Linked DNA regions of Caenorhabditis elegans. The main gene of each other region encodes a partner of the protein of the gene in region 4 in a complex. Each region holds a gene or a part of one and is shown on either strand. Other genes may lie near its edges. The genes, in order: dpy-22, mdt-4, sur-2 and sop-3.

Region 1 (4,709 bases), on a different chromosome or scaffold from region 4:
AGCAAATGAAGCGCTTCACTGAACTGACTGCATTGATCAAGTGTTCTCCATCCTGCGTGGCTAGTTTTCTCTTTCCATTTTTTGTCTGACACCATTTTCTCTTTGATATGGGAAGCCAAAGTTGCAATTTTCATTTCCTTCTCTTTGCGGATTTTGATTTCAGCGAGTTCCTCGTCGGTATAAATTTTCTCGGGTTCGTTATCCGCCACATCTGTATCCTTGTTTTTGTCCCTTTCTTCTTCGCCATCTTTTTTCTTCTCACTTTCCGGAGTTTGTTCCTGATCAGGATCCACCACAGCTATAACAACACAGTCATCCTCGTCTGCTTTTTTGTTGGACTCAATGATCATAATATCATCTTCGTGTTCTTTCTCAGACTTATCAACTTCAGGCGCTTTGTCGACTTCCAGTGGTTCCTCGGTGGTAATTTCAGTGGATTCTTTTGGTTTTTCAGTGGCAGCTGGTGGATCTGATTCCATGGGAACTGTGTCATCTTTAGAAGTTTCATCGTTACTTGTTGAACTTGCATTTGGCTCCTTATCAATTTTGTCATTAGAATCGACAATGGAGGGAGCTTCGGATTTCTCTGCTGATGTAGACGTCTTTGCCGTTTTTGAACTGGTATCATCTTCATTTTCTTTGCCGGTAGGTTCTTCTTCAACTAATTTTTGTTTTTCAGAAGCATCGGTTTTATCATTTGCATCAGCCATTTCAGCATCGTCAGGATTTATCGGAACATCCAGATCATTCGTATGCTCATCAACAGATTTTTCTTTTTCCTTGTCTTTCTCCTTATCTTTGTTCTTCTCCTTAGTTTTAGATTCATCTTCTTTCTTTTCACATTCATTTTCTTTATCGACAGAAAGAGCTGGCGAAGCGCTGGGAGATGATTCAAAATCAATTTGTGGCTGCGTGTTGACAGTTTCCGTTGGTGTTGGATTGGAGAAATCCAGTACTTCATCTTTTGGTGGATCAATTCCAACTCCGCCCTGCTGAATCCAGAAAGGATACGTCATTGAACCATAGCGACCACTAATACGTTCAGGAGTGACAGATCTCTTGCCTATCTTCATGTACTTGAACTCCTCATCGTCAGTGAGTTTTTTTGGAATATCTGTGTGAAGTGGCTTGAAAGGTAAAGGCTCATATGATGGATCATATTGATGTGAGAAAGAGTCATAATCCATAGAATTGTCTGATTGTTGACCTCCATACTCATCATAGTCCATCGGTTCTTGTTTAATCTGTACTTTATCGTGATCAAGAGAAGCTTCATTCGAAGGATTCTGTGGCATTTTTTTTGGCCGATTTTTTGACAATCCTCTTCTTCTCCTCCTTTCAGACTTTTTGAGTGAGCCTGCCTTTCGTTTTTCATGCTGCTTGATAAGTTCTTCAGCTTGTGCTTCTGGTGTTTTGTCAGTCTCATCAAAGTAGGGTACATCAGGAATCTCGTCCAACATATCAATGAAGTCATCGTAATCTTCAAACTCGTAAATTTCGCCATCTTCATTTTCAAATCTGAATTTTTGATTTTTTGTAACTCTCATAAATTTAAGTCTTACTCTTTCTTAATGAAAGTTTTATTAGCAGAATCGTAGTACGCATCAATTTTCCTTTTATCCTGTGCCATTTCGAATAGAAAACCAAGTGCTTGGCAAAGCAGAGTGGAGGACCGTCTAGCTAACACCAGACTGGAGCTGAGATCTTCGACAAAATACACATAATATTTCATGAATGTGCTGAAATGTTATTAATACAATATCAGTTCATGGGTTATCTAATTTGGAAAAGTTTGCAGTGCTTACCTTAAAACTGAAGGGTTCTTAAAGTTTTTCTGCAAAAACAACTGATTGAAAACTTCCGTGAGATCGTTGAGAAACTCCTGTTTATCAAGGACACCATCCTATAACAAAACTAATAAAATTTCTGTTAAAAATAAAACTCTTACATCAAACATATACTTCATGAATCCAGTCAAATAATTCCATGTTTTAGTAGCCTCTCTTCGTTTTATGGGATTTCGAAAAGATTTGTAAAGCTGGGTTACGAGCCAAATTGTTGTTTTGTTGCATGCTTGGCTCAGTTCTAGAGTTGCAACGTCAAGTAATGTTTTCTTTTGTGTCTTGCTTGAAGAGTTGAAACCAAGGATACAAAGAAGTTTCACACACCATATTGCCCGATCGTAGCTTATGCTGAAATAGGCAACTTTAGAACATTCTTCAGTTAGCACAGTATAATTCACATTTGTTTTAATTGTGAATTTTAAAAACAACTCACTTATAATCGCTAAACTCCAAAAAGAGCAGTTCTTTCCTTCTAAATCCAGGGATTCTTTGTGAAAGTTGTTGAAGAGGAGTTCCTCTAGCTAATGCCGAAAAGAATTTCACTCGATCTGACAAAATTCGTTTCCAGTTATGTGGTGCAAAACACGGAAGTTGTTCCTTTGGAATTTTACGTTCTCTGTCATAATTCATGTGGAACTCTCCTTTTTTGTGAATAACCTGAAATTAACATATTTACTCACTTATATAATTGTTGAAAATGACTCACAGAAGCAATCATAGACTGAGATCGTTTTTGAGCTTTCTCCAGACGAATTAGCTTATTTTCCGATGCGTTGAAAACCAATGATTGAAGCTCGTATTGCGTTAATGGCATCTAAAATCAAAACTCGGGTTGTATAATTCATATCCTCACGTGTGCTTTCTCTGTTTCTTTTTACGCTCATCAAACATCTAGCCACACACCAAGCTAATCATCCCCTAGTACCTCCATAGTTACATTGCACTCTGTTTGAGCATCTTTTTCCTCGCCCTGGCACGACACTCACCTGATATCCTTTCTTTAATCGTTCCGTTGTCAACATATCCTCTTCTTGATTCTTGTTTTGTTTATACACATCAGCAGTTCCCATTCGAAGGTTGGTTTTCCGGAGCATACGTTCGCCGGGCTGCTCGTCAAACCACGAGGCGACGCCATCCTCGGGGTAGACGTCGTCCTCGTCGTCTACCACTGACGTCGATGGGTACGAAATGATTGCTAAAATTTTTTTATTTGCAATAACTTCCCAAATTTTGAAGATAATATGTTAAGAAAAAGAAAAAATACAATCAGGCGACGTTTTTAAGTGATAACAACATAAAAACTGACAGAAAAATGAAAGGAGGAACGAATAAGAATTTAAAGGAAAGTGGGTTCTATTTATTTAGAAAATATTGTGAAAAAAATAAGTATTAAAAAGTTTTTTTTTTGGAATATCATCATTCATGTCTAGTTCACTTTTCCAACTCTAAAATTGTGTTCAAAATCCAATATTCAAAATTTTGTGGGTTCCCAATTAGTTAAAAAAACACAATGTGAGCTTTTAAAAAAAGTGAAAAATTAAACTCAACATGTGGACAGAGATGTATTCATAAAGCACCTTTCATCGATTGTAAAGAAACACATCAACCCCAGTACGGATGATGACATTCAAAGATGGCTGTAAAAAAGACGCAGAGAAGCGAGGAAGAAACGCACAAACGGCGAGTAGCAGGCAGTTGGAAAGAAATAGAGAATTGGCCCCTGAGAACACAGAACACAGCAAGAAATACACTGATGGAAGAGAGAGACGCAGAGATGGAGAGTGCTGCACAGCAAGGCACACAGACCCATCGATCGGAACTGTCTCGCTATTTTCTCAAAATGGTCCACTCATAAGTCGTTTGTTTAATTGCAGGGAAAATTGTATTGTTGTAAGAAATGGTAAATACGTTAAAACTTCAACTTTCAGAACGATAAGAAAGTAGACTTTTTTGGGAGTTGTGAATGAGCTAATATTCCAAGATGGTGAACCCAAAAAAAAAAAAGGAAATCAAGTAGTATGCATATCACCTACAGATCAGCATGAACTGATAATATTTGTTATTTGAATATGTGCAATTTTAATAACTTTAATGCGCGTTGTTTCAGAATATGGTTTCGGATGTTCAGGCAGTTTACTGATATTATACAAAAAACCAGCGAAGTTTTTTTGAAACTAAGCTAAAAACGACCTTACGCGCAAAAAATTCCAACATCTGGGTATTGTCTGCAGTTAGAATCACATTCTCGCAAATTTAAATTTATGAGAAAGGACAAATGATGAGAGAAAATGTCATATGTCAGATAAAATTATATGAAAACGGAAGAAAAAAACTCTAAGTTTCTTCATTTCAGAATGTCATAGGGCAAATCCCCCGATTGATGTTTCAATGTAATGCATATTTGAATATATATTTTAATTTTTTTTACAACTCCACAATATCGTTTTGAACTTTGAACAAAATATTGAAAATAAAAATTAGAATTGATTGAAATTGTTATAATTCTTCAAATCAGGATCGCGGAAAATTTTCAAAACGAAATAAATCACTAAAAAGTGTTTATTTAAATTCAGTAAATTCTAGTAATTAGGTCTTGTATTCCGCGTTTCTTTTATAATTTCAAAAATACAATTCAGCGATGTTATCACGCATCACAATTGTTTGAAAATTGTGTGTTTGTATATAAATAATTTATAATCAAAAACACGAAACAAAATAAAAATGATCAGGAATTGCTTGAAGACAATTGAGAAGTAGAAGAAAAATATGAGGAAATGAAAAAATGGAACACTGGTTCTTTAAAAATTTAAGACGATAAAGAAATAAAGTTGAAAAAGTAGTCAACAATACAATGAACAAAAATAT
Region 2 (4,229 bases), on a different chromosome or scaffold from region 4:
TTGTATTCAAGAATCAGGACCGCCCATCTATATCTAGATTAGTTGTGTGGAGGCAAGTCAAAAGAAGATGTGTGGGAATGTGTCTGATGGGAGAGATAATTTCTTATCTATTACCAAAGGGCAAGTAATATAAAATGACATAAAAAACGAAAGGAGGCGAAATTTTACAACTTCAACTTTTCTTCAAACTGATTTGAGCCCACAAAAACAAAAAAAAGTGATGGCTAACAACACTTTCACTGCAACATGTTTTGTGCATCTTTTCACGTACTCCGCATCTCTCTTGTCATGGGTGGTCCCTTTCGTTTCTGCGTCTCTAGATGGGGTGAGTGTTTTTTTAAAATAAGATTTGAATCAAAAGCTAACTTAGGTATATTCCAAAATTTGGCATATTTCTAAATATAATTAGTTACTAGAATTGTTGAAAAAAAAGTTCAAGGAGTAAATAGATTAGAGGACATAAAGAAAGAAAGAAAGGCAGCTGGCATAGCGGTAAACATGGCGTGGACACTGAACCACATGCAATCAGTTAGTGTCACTGTTAAACACAAGATATATAGAAAATTGTGTTTATTTATCAACGTACAATAAGTAAAATACCAGAATTTACAGAGATCTTTCATTATTTATTGCTACTGCCAGTCTTTTTCGATGCGCCTTCATCATCTGAACTATCTGACGAGTTGGAGCTGTCCGACGACATTTGTTCGACATCCCGCACATCTTGAACTTGATCGATACCTCCTGGACGATTCGGAAGTCCAGTAATTTTCAGCTTCACGTTTGGCGAGGAAGAAGGACTCTGAAAATATGTTATTTATTGGAAAATTATAAAATAGCAGATAAATGTAGCCATATTTAGATGTTCCGCGCCTAAGAAGACGAAGAATGATACCTATGGCGTTGTTATAGCACACGTAATCAACGATAAAGCCTTTGAAGCCGGCAATCTCGACTTTCTGTGTGCATTGAGAATCGAACTGGTGGACAGCTGAACAACGGGCAAACGCGTTACCACTGCGCCACCCGTGCATCATTTGCGGGCCGCCAGTAACACTGTCTATGTACACTCGGTTTGCACTGACCTGCGAGACACGGTTGTAAGGGGATTGCGTTGAGGTGGCTCCTGAAACTCCCGGATTCTGCCATTGCTTTTCATTTGGAGTGGCTCCACGGAGTACTTGCTGTTGAATCGGTGGAGGCTCGTCGGTGCCAAAACCAGTTCGTGGACTGAAATCTCCAGTCGGAGCAGAATTAATAAGAGGAGTGCCGACAGTTCGAATTGGAGCTGTTCCACCGTTGGATGAGGATGCGGATGGAGACTGAAATAATATTGATTGAACGTTGAATCTTAATTTTATTTATAAAATTTACTACGAATAACGTAGAAGGAAAGAGATCACAATATGAACTGAATATTTCTTATCACTCATAATTTGATCATTAGAAGGAATGACTGTTAGATAATGTAAGAAGATAAGACATAAATCACGTGATTCACAGCTGTTCGGTTACAGTGTGAAAAGAATTTCAGATTAACGTAGAAAACATTAGAAGTATTGCATTTATATAAATGCATTTATAAATGCATTTATCAAATATTTCAGGTGAGGATTCACATTTCAACAAGTTTCCATAAACATACCGTAATAAGCGGCCTCTGAGCGACGTTCTTTCCGGGTAAAAGCTGAGGTCCAGTGCTCTGAACTTTTGAATTCAATAGGTGACCAGCTCGAAATTCGTGTTCCTGAGGAAACGGACGCGATGGATCTCCCATTTGCCAAGTGAGTGGTGCAGATACGGAGTTGTGCTTACTGATCTGATGAGCCAGTTTGATGAGCATCTCACTATTGACTGGTCTCAATTCAGCTTCTTTCATTTGCTTGAGCTTCTGGTTTGCCTGAAATAAACGTATTTCGAAAAAAGTCTTTGTTTCCAACAAAATTTACATGAAAACAAGATCGCGTCAGAGCCACCTCACATGACTTCAAATTCGTTTCAAGTTGTTGAATAACTTCGTCTCGTTTCTCCACGTGGGCTTCAAGCGTCCGAATGAGCTGCTCTCGTTCTTGAAACTCAGGAACCCTCTTCAGCAAAGTCTTTATGCTATCCTGTTTTGAGTCAAACAGCTTGATAATGTTCGTAACGGTTTCTCCATTTTTCAGCATAACACTTTTGTCCCGATTGATGAGTGTATCGACGATCTGAAACAATAATTGATTATGTGGGTTCATGAATTCTATAAGATGAACTCACAGTAAAAAGTAATTTTAAAATAAACTATAATATTGTTTCAAATTTTTTTAGAACGTACCATTTTAACAATATGCTCCAAATCATCTGCAGATTCCAGGAGCAAATCCCGTAGACTTCGTTCATCTGTTTCTGCCATTTGAGATCTAGAACAATACAACCATCGAACATACATTAACAACTTTTAAAATAATTAATTACCGAAACAACGGCACAAGTTTCAAAAAAAAAGAGAATATTTTTCAAAGAATTTAGTATAATTTGAAAACTTAAAAACTTAACAACAGGCCACAGATTTAAAGAAAAAAGTTAACAGTAAAAATTAACAAAAAAATGTTCAACAACGAGAAATTAAAAGCGGATAAATGTGTGTTGTTTAGAGGATTCTTCCCTTGTTTCTCAACTTGTTCATCTTTCTCTTCTTGACGTCATCGATGCGCTTCTGGAGATTCTTCTTTCTCTTGTCTTGCTTCTGAAAAATAAAAATTCAAATCTTAAAGGATTTTCTACCAATCAACATACCGTTTGCTTCTCTCCCTCCGTCTTATTCTCTCGGTTCTCCCATTTCTGCTTTCTTCTATCCTTCATCTTATTCTTCTTCACCAAAGCCTTCTTGAGCATTCCCAAATTATCTTTCACTTTTCCACCAGCTGCTCTTTTCAGTGTTTTCTCCCACTTTAGCTCATCTTCCATGATGGTAGCCTTATGTGGATCAGCTTCGCGAACTTTGGCAATTGTTGCTTTTGTCTCTTCGACTTTAGCGATAAGTGATTTATAGTCACGTCCGGTAAGTTTAAGAGCTCGATCTTTTTTGGCGGTCTGAAAATTTCAGATATTTCAGATAAAAATATTTTTACTCACTCTTTGTTTCTTGCCCCTCTGCTTGTCTTCTTTGATTTCAAACTTGAGATTATTGAATGAAATTCCAGATTTCTGCTTCTCGACAGGCTCATTGCCATTTTCTGTGCTTTCAACAGTCTCTTTCTTCACTTGAGCTGCTGCCTCTTTTCCTTTCTTCTCCTCTGCTCTTCTTTGTTTCAGCTTCAGCTTGCTCTCCCGTCTTTTCAAACGCTTCTCCTCTGCCATTTTTTCAGCCATCGCTGATGTTACCTTCGCCGGTCCTTTTCCTTTCCGCTCAACTTTCATTTCCTTCAGCTTTTTCTGCAGTCTCAGCAAAGCGATTTGACGTCTGATTTCGGGGGATTCATTGTCTTCATCGTCTTCCAACTTTTGAATCTCCTTGTCAATTTTTCCATTCGATTTCAGAGTAGATTGTGCTACGGTTTTGTTGGGTTTAGATGGTGTTTCTTCTTCTTCGTCCGTTGAATCGCTGTCCTCAGCCTCTACAGCTCCATTATTTCCTTCAGGCTCTTCTCCATCTTCACTGTCTTCATCATCATCTGAAGATTCTTCTTTCTTTTGCTTCTTAGCAACTGGCTCGTCTGTTTCTTCTTTCTCCTCGTCGTCAGATGAATCATCCTCTTCTGAATCAGAATCAGCTTTCTTATCTTGCTTTTTCTGGTCTTTCTTCACTACTTTTTCTTTATTCTTGTTCTGATCCGCTGGTCTCTTCACCGGTGCAACAACCTTTTGTGGTTGCACTTTCGAATGCTGCTTGCTTTTAGACATCCACTCGAGGACTTCTTGAACAGTGTTTGGAACCAATCCTAAGCCTTTCGCCAGATGTTGTTTCTGTTGTGCAGACATTGACTTTCTTTCCTCTGAAAAACATACAGAATTTTAAAGAAATTTATCAATAAATTACTTTTGCTGAGTTGTCGATTAACCAAACTGTGTTTTCGCATCTTCAATGATTCTTTGACATCATCATCAAATCCCCAAGAGTTAACTGGAATCAGGTTGCAGAAGGAGAGCATCTGAAATTAAAATGTTTTGTTTCTCGGCCACTTTTCGAGGATGTGTGTACGCTACCTCTTTTTCAAGAATGTCCACTGCATCTTCTACAGCTTCTAATG
Region 3 (4,915 bases), about 12 Mb from region 4:
AATAATTTTTCCAGATTTTCGAGAATATCTATTATCCAAAACTTCTCTTTTTGGATTTTTTAAAAGAAAAAGTTACAAGAAAAATTAAAGATTTTGGTTTTCAATTTTTCTAAATGTCGGAAATCTAAAGTTTTGTTTTTTGGTAAATTTTTTTTTAAAAACATTTCAAGAAAATCTTAAGTTTCGGTATTTTTTTTCGAAATTTTATTTAAGAAGTGAAAAATTGGATTTTTCTGGAATTTTCTAAGAATAATTGAAAAAAAGAAATATTTTGGTTTTTCGATTTTTTTTTGAAGGTCTAAAAGTCAAGAACATTCAGATTTTTGAAGAATTTTCAAAAGATTTTGTTTAAATTATAGCTTTTATCCTAAGAATTTTGATTTTGGATTTTTTTTTCCTTCAGAAATAAACCAAAAATTGAAACGCTTAGTTTTTAAATTAAATTATTAGCTCTACTTTCAAATTTCTGGCTTTTCAAGACAATTTTGAAATTCAAAACTTGTGTTTTTCAAATAGAATCTTTTTTTTTTCGATTTTCTCTTTGAAAAACCCAAAAATTTAGCTTTCCTGAATGTCGGAAATCGAAATGTTCGGATTTTTTAGAATTTTACTTTAAAAGTAAAAAATTGGATTTTTTTTCTGAATTTGCGAAAAATAATTGAAAAAAGGAATATTTTTGTTTTTCGGGTTTCGCAAAATCGAAAAATTTGAAATACACTAACAATAAATGTTGTGTAATCCCATAAATAACAATATTAACAATATTGTCCCATTGATATCGTGGAATTGGCTCAGTTTCCGGTAGAGATTCTGCTTCGGCCATTGATTCACATATCATTACAGATATCAACATTTCCCAATTTGTCTTTGTCTTCGTTTTGCTCGGAGGATGAAGCTGAAACTTAATTCGGGATAAGTTATTTAAAATATATATATTCTCAATTTCATACCGAGTCCTTTCCCAATGGCTGACGAAGAATCATGTAGAGGGTGTACAAGTATGTAGAAGTATGTTCAGGACGATATGGAAGTGTATGATGAGGTTGAACAATTGTATTACTGGCATTTAATCCATGTTCTTCCCAACACGATGTTAATGGATAGAATGATGGATGTAGTGGAATGGGGTAAACGAATCCACGGCCACACACGTGGGATAGGTCGGCAATTGGTCGGAAATGGACGGATAAGCTTGCCAGTTTCTCCGTTAGTCTCTGTAATATTTGGCATTTTAATTTAATCTTAAGAAATATAGGCTTGGTAAATGAATCGAGATGGGTCGATCCGTGACTCATCTCGAGCCGCTTTTTGCAAAAAAAATCCACAATTGCCGGAATTGAAATTTCCGGCAAATCAGCAGATTGCCGGAAAATCAGCAAATTGCCGAAATTTTTCGGCAAATTGTGGTTTTGTACATTCAGATAATTTTTCGTCGATGAAGGTGATTTTTCAGTCAATCAGCATACAAATCAGGGGTGTGTGGCAAACGATTTTTTCGGCAAATCGGCAAAGTGCCGGAATTGAAATTTCCGGCAAATCGTGAAACCGGCAAATTTCCGAATTTACCGGAAAAATACCAATTGTCGAAAATTTTTGGCAAATTGTGGTTTCGCACTAATTTTTTGGGAATTTCAGAATTGTACGCATCCTGTGAGTGTTTGAATGTTTTTTTCTACATCTTTTTTGAAAAGTAAGCAAATTCTATAAAAATATCTGAGGAAAAGGGAAAAACAGCCCAAAAAGTCACAGTTTTAAGTGTTTCAGTCTTATGAAAAAATCCCTCAAAACATTTGCGGAAAATTTAACATCCGGTAAACGGCAAATCGGTAAACCAGCAAATTGCCCGATTTGCCGAACGGTAATTGCCGCCCACCCTTGGTAAAAACTTCAAATAAAATGTTGAGAAACTGAAAATTTAGAAATCAGAAGAAATTTCCCGTCATTTTTTTATGGCTTAAATTAAGTTTTTTAAAACTTCTGTAGTATTCAATTTGGTTTACTTTCTGTAACTCAAAAACTAAATGCACAGAAATTAGAAACTTTGCGAGAATGGTCGAACTTTTTTTTGGTTTCCGCCAAAAAAAAATTCGACTTTTTGAATGTAGAGAGATCTTTTTTTTGTGTTTTTTTTGCCGAAAAAAAAAATTAACAAATCTAAATTTTTACATTGTCTTTATATTTTCAGCAATTTTTTTTAAAATTTTCCCCTCACCGGCAGCATAAGCGCCTGTTTCGGCATTCCTCTCATAATTTCTGATAATGTGATGAGTGGAGGCATCAAATTGGAGTCTCTATCCACAATATGCAGTATTACATTCTCAACAATGCGGATTTCGTTTACTTGCTCCGGAGATAGTGAATACGGTAGGCGACGGAGCTGTGATTCCAGAATATATCGGAGGATATTCCGAATTCCTTTGTAATCGATTTTTGGAATGCAATCATTGATGAATTTCCATTTTTCTTGGCATATTCTACTGCATAATCGGAAGTCCGAAGTCATTATGAGTCCTTCTGCGCACAGATTCGTTGAAATCGCACCTTTTTGATGAGCATATCGGAGAAGCTGATCTACGACACGTTCGTAGTTTGTTCTGGAATAAAACACTGTTAAAACCTCTGATTATATGCAAAAGAACTGTTAAAATTGTTTTTTTTTCGAATTTTTAAATTCTCACCCAACAAAAACTCGATCAGGAGAGTTCTTTTCCGCCACGTGATGAACCATTTTTATTAGCTCTTTCACTAAAGATTGTTTTTCTTTTTCTTCCATTTTACTCATCATATTATTGAATTGAATCCGTAAAATCGCCGTCTCGTCGCCAATATTCGACGTAAGAGGTCGAAAAAATTTTCTTGTGTGGTTTTCTTCCTAGAATATATTTTTATGAGTTATGTTTAATTTTTTAAGCGTTATTTTTGATTTAAAAAACTCACAACGAGACTTTTAATTTGACTCTTTATTCGATTGACTTCCTGAACAAATTGCGGAGAGCACGTGTCATCCATTTCAATTGTATCTTCTGCGGAACCAGGTTTATCCGTCATTTTGTTGCCTGAAAATGTAATAATTTTCAAAAGAAAAATGTTAAAATAATAAATTGAAACAAAATAGGTTGATAAAAATTAAAAACGCATTGTTTGAGAAAGATATTACTGCGCCTCTTCTCTCTCACGCGTGACAATAGAGCGCGCTTGGTGTGTGGTCTCTTCGTTCACGCATATTCTGCGGATTTGAACTCTACCAGAGTTCTGCGAAAAAACTACTACATATATAATACATTTCACACATTTAAATATCTTGACTTTTATTGTAGGTAAACTGACATTTGGACTGATTTGCCAAATTTCTGTTGAAAATCAGTTTCAAGAAGCTGAAATCTAGATTAATTTATTTTTTTCATATCTTCATAAAAAGTACAGTTTATTCTCATTTACATTCCTTTAAATGGCGTGTTAAAATAATGAATTAATGTTCGATTTGCACTACAAGATTTCCTTTCGCTCCCTTGTTGTTCATAATTTCCTCATGAGCCAGTCCTAATTGCTCGAGACGATACAATTTGTTTATAAGTGGACGAAACTCGGTTTCCTTCAAGAATGAGACAATGTTGATGCCAAAGTCCAAGAGCTCAGCCTCGGAAGACATTCCCAATGCTACACCGTAAACAGCTCCTTCTGTAACCATAAGTTGTCTTGCGTTGATCGTGGTCTCGGCGCGATTTCCAATTACTGCAACTCTACCACGTGGAGCCAGCAATCCGAGGTCCGTGTTCAGATTTGTGTGAGCAGCCATTTCGAAAATGTGGTTGAAGCCTCCTGGATAATCATTTTTCATTTTCGACACATATTGCTTATCCGAATGATTATAGACATTCCGTGCACCAAGACTCTTCACGAACCGGATCCCATCAGCAGATCCAGCAGTGCCAACAGCTTCAATGTTCCTCCAGGCAGCCAGCTGCATCAGTGCACTTCCCACTCCACCAGATGCTCCGTGTACAAGTATAACGTCGCCAGTCTGAGAAGAGAATTAGTTTTGGGAGGGAACAGCAGATGGTCGTATTTTAGACCGCCCCTTGTTTGAGATGGAACAGATGGTCAAGTTGGCTTTGTAAAGATTGATTTGTATTGATTTTGCCTCCTAATTTTGATACGTTTTTGCCAAAATTTTAATATTCTCTATGAACCATTTAATAATAAATAAAAGTCAAACCTTTGCACCAGCAAGATGAAACAATGCACGATAAGCGGTAAGATAAGGCACTCCGAGAGAAGCTCCTTCCTCAAACGAAACTCCTGAAATGAGATTTTAGCTATATCTTAGGTCTCGCCACGCGGGCAACTAGCTACAGTAACCCGTTGCGCAATGATTCTTTTACCTTCCGGCAACTCGAATGGTCGATTCACCGCAACATACTCTGCTGTACTGTCCGCTTCTGATCCATACCAGACTCGATCGCCGACTTTCACATTTTTAACGCTTTCTCCCACAAGTTCGACGAATCCGGCTCCATCTTTTCCTGGTACATATGGAAGATTTGGTAGTTTTCCATACTGACCAGCACGAATATATGTGTCAACTGGATTGACACCGGCAGCGTAATTCCGAACGAGAACCTGGTTTTTTTCAAGCCTGGGCATATCACTCTCGACGGCTTCTATGACATCAGGTGCTCCGAATCGTCGGACTACAGCTGCGCGCATGCTTGATTTGCAAATCGATTTGCTCATTGTTCTAAAAATGGCACTTATCAGTAATATGAAATGCGTACTCGCACTGATTAGGCGCACGGATTTATTCGGATGGGTCTCGCAGCGAGAAAAATGTTATGGTAACACTTTGTGGCGGGACCAATCCGAATCAAACCGTGTACCTTTAAGTACGCGTTCAGAAAATTGCGAAATTACTATA
Region 4 (4,707 bases):
CGAGGAAAAGTGGTTTCTAGGCCATGGTCGAGGGGCCGACAAGTTTCAGCGGCCATTTATCTTGCTTTGTTTTTCGCTTGTTTTCTTTTGTTTTTCACAGCTTTTTCCCGTTTTTTCTTATTAAAACTGATAAATAAATACTTTTTGCAGATGCTAAAACAATTTCCAACTGAAAAAATTATGTATTCAGTGGGCAAGCAGCTGTGAAAGTGGGCATTGTAATATGATGGATTACGGGAATACAAAACCTAAACTTTTTCTGAAACATGATACATATGCTGCTTAAATGCTGAGACTACCTGATTTTCATAACGAGACCGCTGAAAAAGTTTTGAGGTTTTCAAAATTCAACTTTTTGTGCGAAAATCTCGACTTTTTCACCAAAAAAGTTGAATTTTGGAAACCTCAAAACTTTTTCAGCGGTCTCGTTATGAAAATCAGGTAGTCTCAGCATTTAAGCAGCATATGTATCATGTTTCAGAAAAAGTCTAGGTTTTGTATTCCCGTAATCCATCATATTTGACCATTGACCACTTTCACCGCTGCTTGCCCACTGAATACACTTTTTTTTACTTGGAAATCGTTTTGGCATCTGCAAAAAATATTTATTTATCAGTTTTAATAAGAAAAAACGGGAAAAGGCTGTGAAAAACAAAAGAAAACAAGCGGAAAACAAAGCAAGATAAATTGCCGCTGAAACTTGTCGGCCCCTCGGCCATGGCCTAGAAACCAATTTTCCTCGTCTCTCGTGAGGAAAAAGTTGCAGTGAAATTCTAGATTCTAGCAAAAATCAGCAATTTTTCCCTGAAATTTCAAAGTTCCCGCGCATTTTGAGTCTAATAAAACAGTTTTATCGTAATTATCATCATATTCCCCTTGTTTGACCTTCATCTCTCTTATCAAAAACTACAACATACATATCTTCGTCCGTCTGCGTCTCTCACAACTAGTTATTGCAACAAAAAAAAAAACATTCAGAAGTGGTCATACTTTCATCCATAAATTCGTTTTCTTTTTCTGAAAACCACCTTCAAAATACAGAAAATCTCGTTTTTATCGAAATTTTGGCTTTAAAATAGTTTGAATTTCATTGATTTTTTTATTTTCTCGTTTTTGTAGGGAAATTTTCCTGTATATTATATTTTTAAATAAGTTTCATATAAAATTTTTATAGCTGTATATAAAGGAACATCGAATAGAAAAATAGATATTTTTAACTATTTTCTATAACTTAAAGGTAGAGTAGTCGAATTTTTTAAAATTTCTTTATTAGACTCAAAATTGTCTGAAAACACCGAATTTCATAATGAAATTTCTTGAAAACTTCTCAAAAAAAAGTTATGGCCTCTCGAAAATGGCCTAAAATTAGTGAAAATTTGAAATTTGACCAACTTAAATATCTTTGTCGCAGCAGCTGGAAACAAATTTTTTTTTGAAACTGTCGTCTATTTTTGAGTAAACAAGTAGATTATCTTGCGTTTTCAGTTTTATTAAGGTATTTAAAAGTCGATGGACGAAGAGATTTTTCAAATTTTTTTAATCAATTCTCTTCGTCCATCGACTTTAAATACCATAATAAAGCTTAAAACGCAAGATAATCTACTTGTTTACTCAAAAATAGACGACAATTTCAAAAAAAAATTGTTTCCAGCCGCTGCGACAATGATAAGTTGGTCAACTTCAAATTTTCACTAATTTTAGGTCATTTTTTGAGCGTCATAATTTTTTTTGGAAAAGTTTTCAAGAAGTTTCATTATCAAATTCGGTGTTTTCAGACAATTTTGAGTCTAATAAAGAAATAAAAAACTCAACTACACCACCTTTAAATCAAAATTTCACAAAAAATGGTTTTTTTCTAGAATGTTCCTCCGCGCCACTGAATCAATTCTCGGTTTGGGCCTTCTGGCTTACGGCCTTCTCGAAATCTCGAGAAATCCGACCTGGTGGGCCTATACGCCGGTCTACTTGGTCCCGGCGATCCTCTCCATCATTCAAATTCCACGGAACGCCACGTGGCGCACTCTCTCATCCCTCTCCATCGTCGCCGGCGGTCTCTACACGAGTTTTCTGCTGTGGACGTTCTCCTCTGTGGAATCTATACCGACGATCGATTTGGAAGAAGAAGCCAAGAACCTTCCGCCGGTAATATATTATTGATTTTTATTCTTAAATGATTCAATAAAAATCGTTCCAGGTAGCCCTTGGAGCCCTGCTGATCAGCTTCATCCGTCTCACACAGGATAAGATCTCCCAGCCGGTGCATTATGTCAGATCTTCGATTATTCTCGCTGTCGCTCTCATTAGTTTTTACGCTTTTATTTCATATTTTTAGTTTTCTTTTCCTCTGAAAAATAAATATTATTAGCTTTACAATGTAATTTCCTTCGGAAGTGAGGACAAAATCGCGGTTATCGAATCGCGAAGCTTCGAGAATTCTCCATTTTTCATTAGAGCTAGAGCTCCTGGAGCATCAGTGAGCGGTTGACCGAAATAACCGATTTTGCAGGTACTAATCTGAAAGATAGCTTTATTGTTTTGGTAAAATCCCGTATTCAACGCACTTGATCCTCTGCAACACCAATGTCGATTGTTACATCAGGATTTCTGATTGAAAATCCACTATTTTGAGTTGAAAACACGCAATGTTCTCTGAAAAAAAAATTATTTATAAAATTTTTAATTTAAAAAAAATTTAAAAAAGCACTCACCCTAGGCCTTCAGATAATTGTTGAACTTTTCGAGCAATAGTAGCATCATTATCAATTGGTAAATGCTCTTTCATAAAAACCAGAGAGCCAAGAACGTCGAGACGGGTTCGTGCATCGAGTGTTTGCCTTTTCTCCTGAAAATTTGATTTTTTTTTCAATGAAAAACGGTGGAGATTGCAGTTACCAGCAAATTCCTCCTGACAGATCTCGCAAAATGCTCCCATCCCAGCTTTTCTGCGCTTTGGCGGACATTTTCCATTCGCAAATCTCGATCGATCGACTCCAGGTTTAACTCATGATTTTTCCTCTCTTCAATTATCATGGTAGGTTTCGCTACCTGAAAATCGATAAATATTTAATTATTTGCTGTTTAATAATATAAAAATTGAGAAATTTTAACGAGAAACCCATTAAAAATGCAGTTTAAAATAGAAAATCGGTGCAAAAAATATTTTGTTTTGCTGCGAACGACACTCCGTTATAACGCGGCGCGTGTTGTTTAGCAGGCGGATTTTAGGCCACAGCCACTGGCATCAATTGGCGGGTGTTTGAATTTAGATAATTCGTCTCAGGGTTTAAAACCGGTTTTCTGCAGAAAAAATCGATTTTCAAGTTATATTTTATTAACAAAAATACATCATGTTTCATTAATAATCTACAAACAAAATCAATTTATTCATCATCCTCGTGGTGTCTGGTGCGGTGGCGGCGGAGAGTCTTGATATCTTGATCCCGTTGGGCCATTTGTTCAGCAGCCTGGTCACGGTCACGGCGGTATTCTTTGTAGTTCTGAAAAAGAGAAGGAAATGTGATTTTTAAAAAAAAACGTTGTTTGAGCTCAATTGAGAGGAAAGGTCTTGGCGCGAGCGTTGCAAAATTAAACGTGCGCACGGGGTTCTGGCCTTCCTCATTGAATTTTTCGCGCTCCATTGACAATCGCCTGCCGGAAAACACGTGGGAAAGTACTCCACACGGGCAAATACATTTAGTTTTACAACTAAAATCGAGCCGCGACGCGACACGCAACGCTCCGTAAATCTATGCCAGATATGGCCGAGCCTAAATGACCTAGTTCGGCAAACTCTTCCATTTCAATTTATGAGGGAAGCCAGAAATCCGTGGAAAAGATTAAAAAAAGGAGATTTTCAACTAAAAATACATGGTTTTTTTCTTTAAAAATTCGAAAAATCGATGGCCTAGTTTTTTTTGAGTCCTAGGCCACCTACCAAATACGCCTGGGGTCTCTGCCCATTGCTGGCGCGAACACAGTAGAACAAGTCGTGAAGGCAAGTTGGAAGATATGTCTGTTGAAGCCCAATGTTCACAATATTATCGGCTCTGAAAAAAAACAAGTTTTATTATTAATTTTAAAAAAATTTAAATTTACCTGTTATATGGATAATGTCCACCTTTTGCAAATTTATAATCATTCTCAAGCTGTGCCATACTTGCCGGCCGTCCGTCGAAGAATCCGAGATAAGTTGGTGGATAGTAATTCGGGTAGTACCAGTTACCGAACTGCCCGTAGTCTCTGGCGGTATTCTCATTATAGTAGATATACTTTGGCAGGACTCTCGGCGAGTTTTCGTAGGTCCTCTGGTAGAATGTGTCGGCGACCTGGCGGTTGGTGGTGTCCGCCAGTTTTCCCGGCCCGGGGCCTCCGCCGCTGAAATTGCAGTCCGCGACGAACTGAAAGTTGGGAAGGTTGCACATCATTTTTCGAGTCTCGCAGCGAATTATAACTTAGTCTTGACACGACAATTATCACGTGGTGTCAAAGTGCCCCAAATGCGGGAGAAGAGACGCAGACTTTTAAACTAATTTCGCATAGTTAAGAGTGTGCTGAGAGAAAAATTCCAGCATTTTTTGTAGATCAAACCGTCATGGGACAGCCTGACACCACGTGAATTATTGGTTAAATGGAAATGAACTGTGCGCCTTTAAAGATTACTGTAGTTTCACCGATTTCCCATAGATTTTCTCACGATTTTTCAAAGTT

Evidence for each region.
Region 1: sop-3 (region 4) and dpy-22 share a complex: the UniProt entries of both Caenorhabditis elegans proteins name them as parts of the mediator complex.
Region 2: sop-3 (region 4) and mdt-4 share a complex: the UniProt entries of both Caenorhabditis elegans proteins name them as parts of the mediator complex.
Region 3: sop-3 (region 4) and sur-2 share a complex: the UniProt entries of both Caenorhabditis elegans proteins name them as parts of the mediator complex.

Annotation. Positions count from the first base shown.
Region 1 is NC_003284.9:9,819,233-9,823,941, forward strand, and holds the start of dpy-22 (Mediator of RNA polymerase II transcription subunit 12), read right to left. Parts: upstream 3,042-4,709; 5' UTR 2,939-3,041; coding exon 2,831-2,938; intron 2,659-2,830; coding exon 2,551-2,658; intron 2,502-2,550; coding exon 2,278-2,501; intron 2,193-2,277; coding exon 1,949-2,192; intron 1,904-1,948; coding exon 1,806-1,903; intron 1,740-1,805; coding exon 1,563-1,739; intron 1,519-1,562; coding exon 1-1,518. UniProt on the Caenorhabditis elegans protein: Component of the Mediator complex, a coactivator involved in regulated gene transcription of nearly all RNA polymerase II-dependent genes.
Region 2 is NC_003280.10:4,941,551-4,945,779, forward strand, and holds mdt-4 (Mediator of RNA polymerase II transcription subunit 4), read right to left. Parts: upstream 2,400-4,229; 5' UTR 2,393-2,399; coding exon 2,315-2,392; intron 2,205-2,314; coding exon 1,950-2,204; intron 1,901-1,949; coding exon 1,646-1,900; intron 1,323-1,645; coding exon 1,086-1,322; intron 970-1,085; exon of another isoform or gene 803-969; coding exon 623-802; coding exon of another isoform or gene 613-622; 3' UTR 557-612; downstream 1-556. Other genes in the region: ZK546.19 (uncharacterized protein), read left to right, coding at 221-325, 613-768; SURF6 homolog gldi-11, read right to left, coding at 2,630-2,725, 2,776-3,072, 3,115-3,974, 4,019-4,130, 4,186-4,229. UniProt on the Caenorhabditis elegans protein: Component of the Mediator complex, a coactivator involved in the regulated transcription of nearly all RNA polymerase II-dependent genes.
Region 3 is NC_003279.8:14,784,749-14,789,663, forward strand, and holds the start of sur-2 (Mediator of RNA polymerase II transcription subunit 23), read right to left. Parts: upstream 3,056-4,915; 5' UTR 3,049-3,055; coding exon 2,938-3,048; intron 2,873-2,937; coding exon 2,679-2,872; intron 2,595-2,678; coding exon 2,213-2,594; intron 1,215-2,212; coding exon 951-1,214; intron 896-950; coding exon 723-895; intron 1-722. Other genes in the region: F39B2.3 (15-oxoprostaglandin 13-reductase), read right to left, coding at 3,470-4,021, 4,217-4,299, 4,383-4,734. UniProt on the Caenorhabditis elegans protein: Component of the Mediator complex, a coactivator involved in regulated gene transcription of nearly all RNA polymerase II-dependent genes.
Region 4 is NC_003279.8:2,773,053-2,777,759, forward strand, and holds the start of sop-3 (Mediator of RNA polymerase II transcription subunit 1.1), read right to left. Parts: upstream 3,050-4,707; 5' UTR 3,031-3,049; coding exon 2,893-3,030; intron 2,843-2,892; coding exon 2,709-2,842; intron 2,650-2,708; coding exon 2,562-2,649; intron 2,515-2,561; coding exon 2,372-2,514; intron 2,370-2,371; exon of another isoform or gene 2,333-2,369; coding exon of another isoform or gene 2,195-2,332; intron 2,143-2,194; coding exon of another isoform or gene 1,861-2,142; exon of another isoform or gene 1,860-1,860; intron 1-1,859. Other genes in the region: Y71F9B.1 (uncharacterized protein), read left to right, coding at 1,861-2,142, 2,195-2,332; Y71F9B.13 (NADH dehydrogenase [ubiquinone] 1 beta subcomplex subunit 7), read right to left, coding at 3,381-3,497, 3,935-4,046, 4,096-4,397. UniProt on the Caenorhabditis elegans protein: Component of the Mediator complex, a coactivator involved in the regulated transcription of nearly all RNA polymerase II-dependent genes.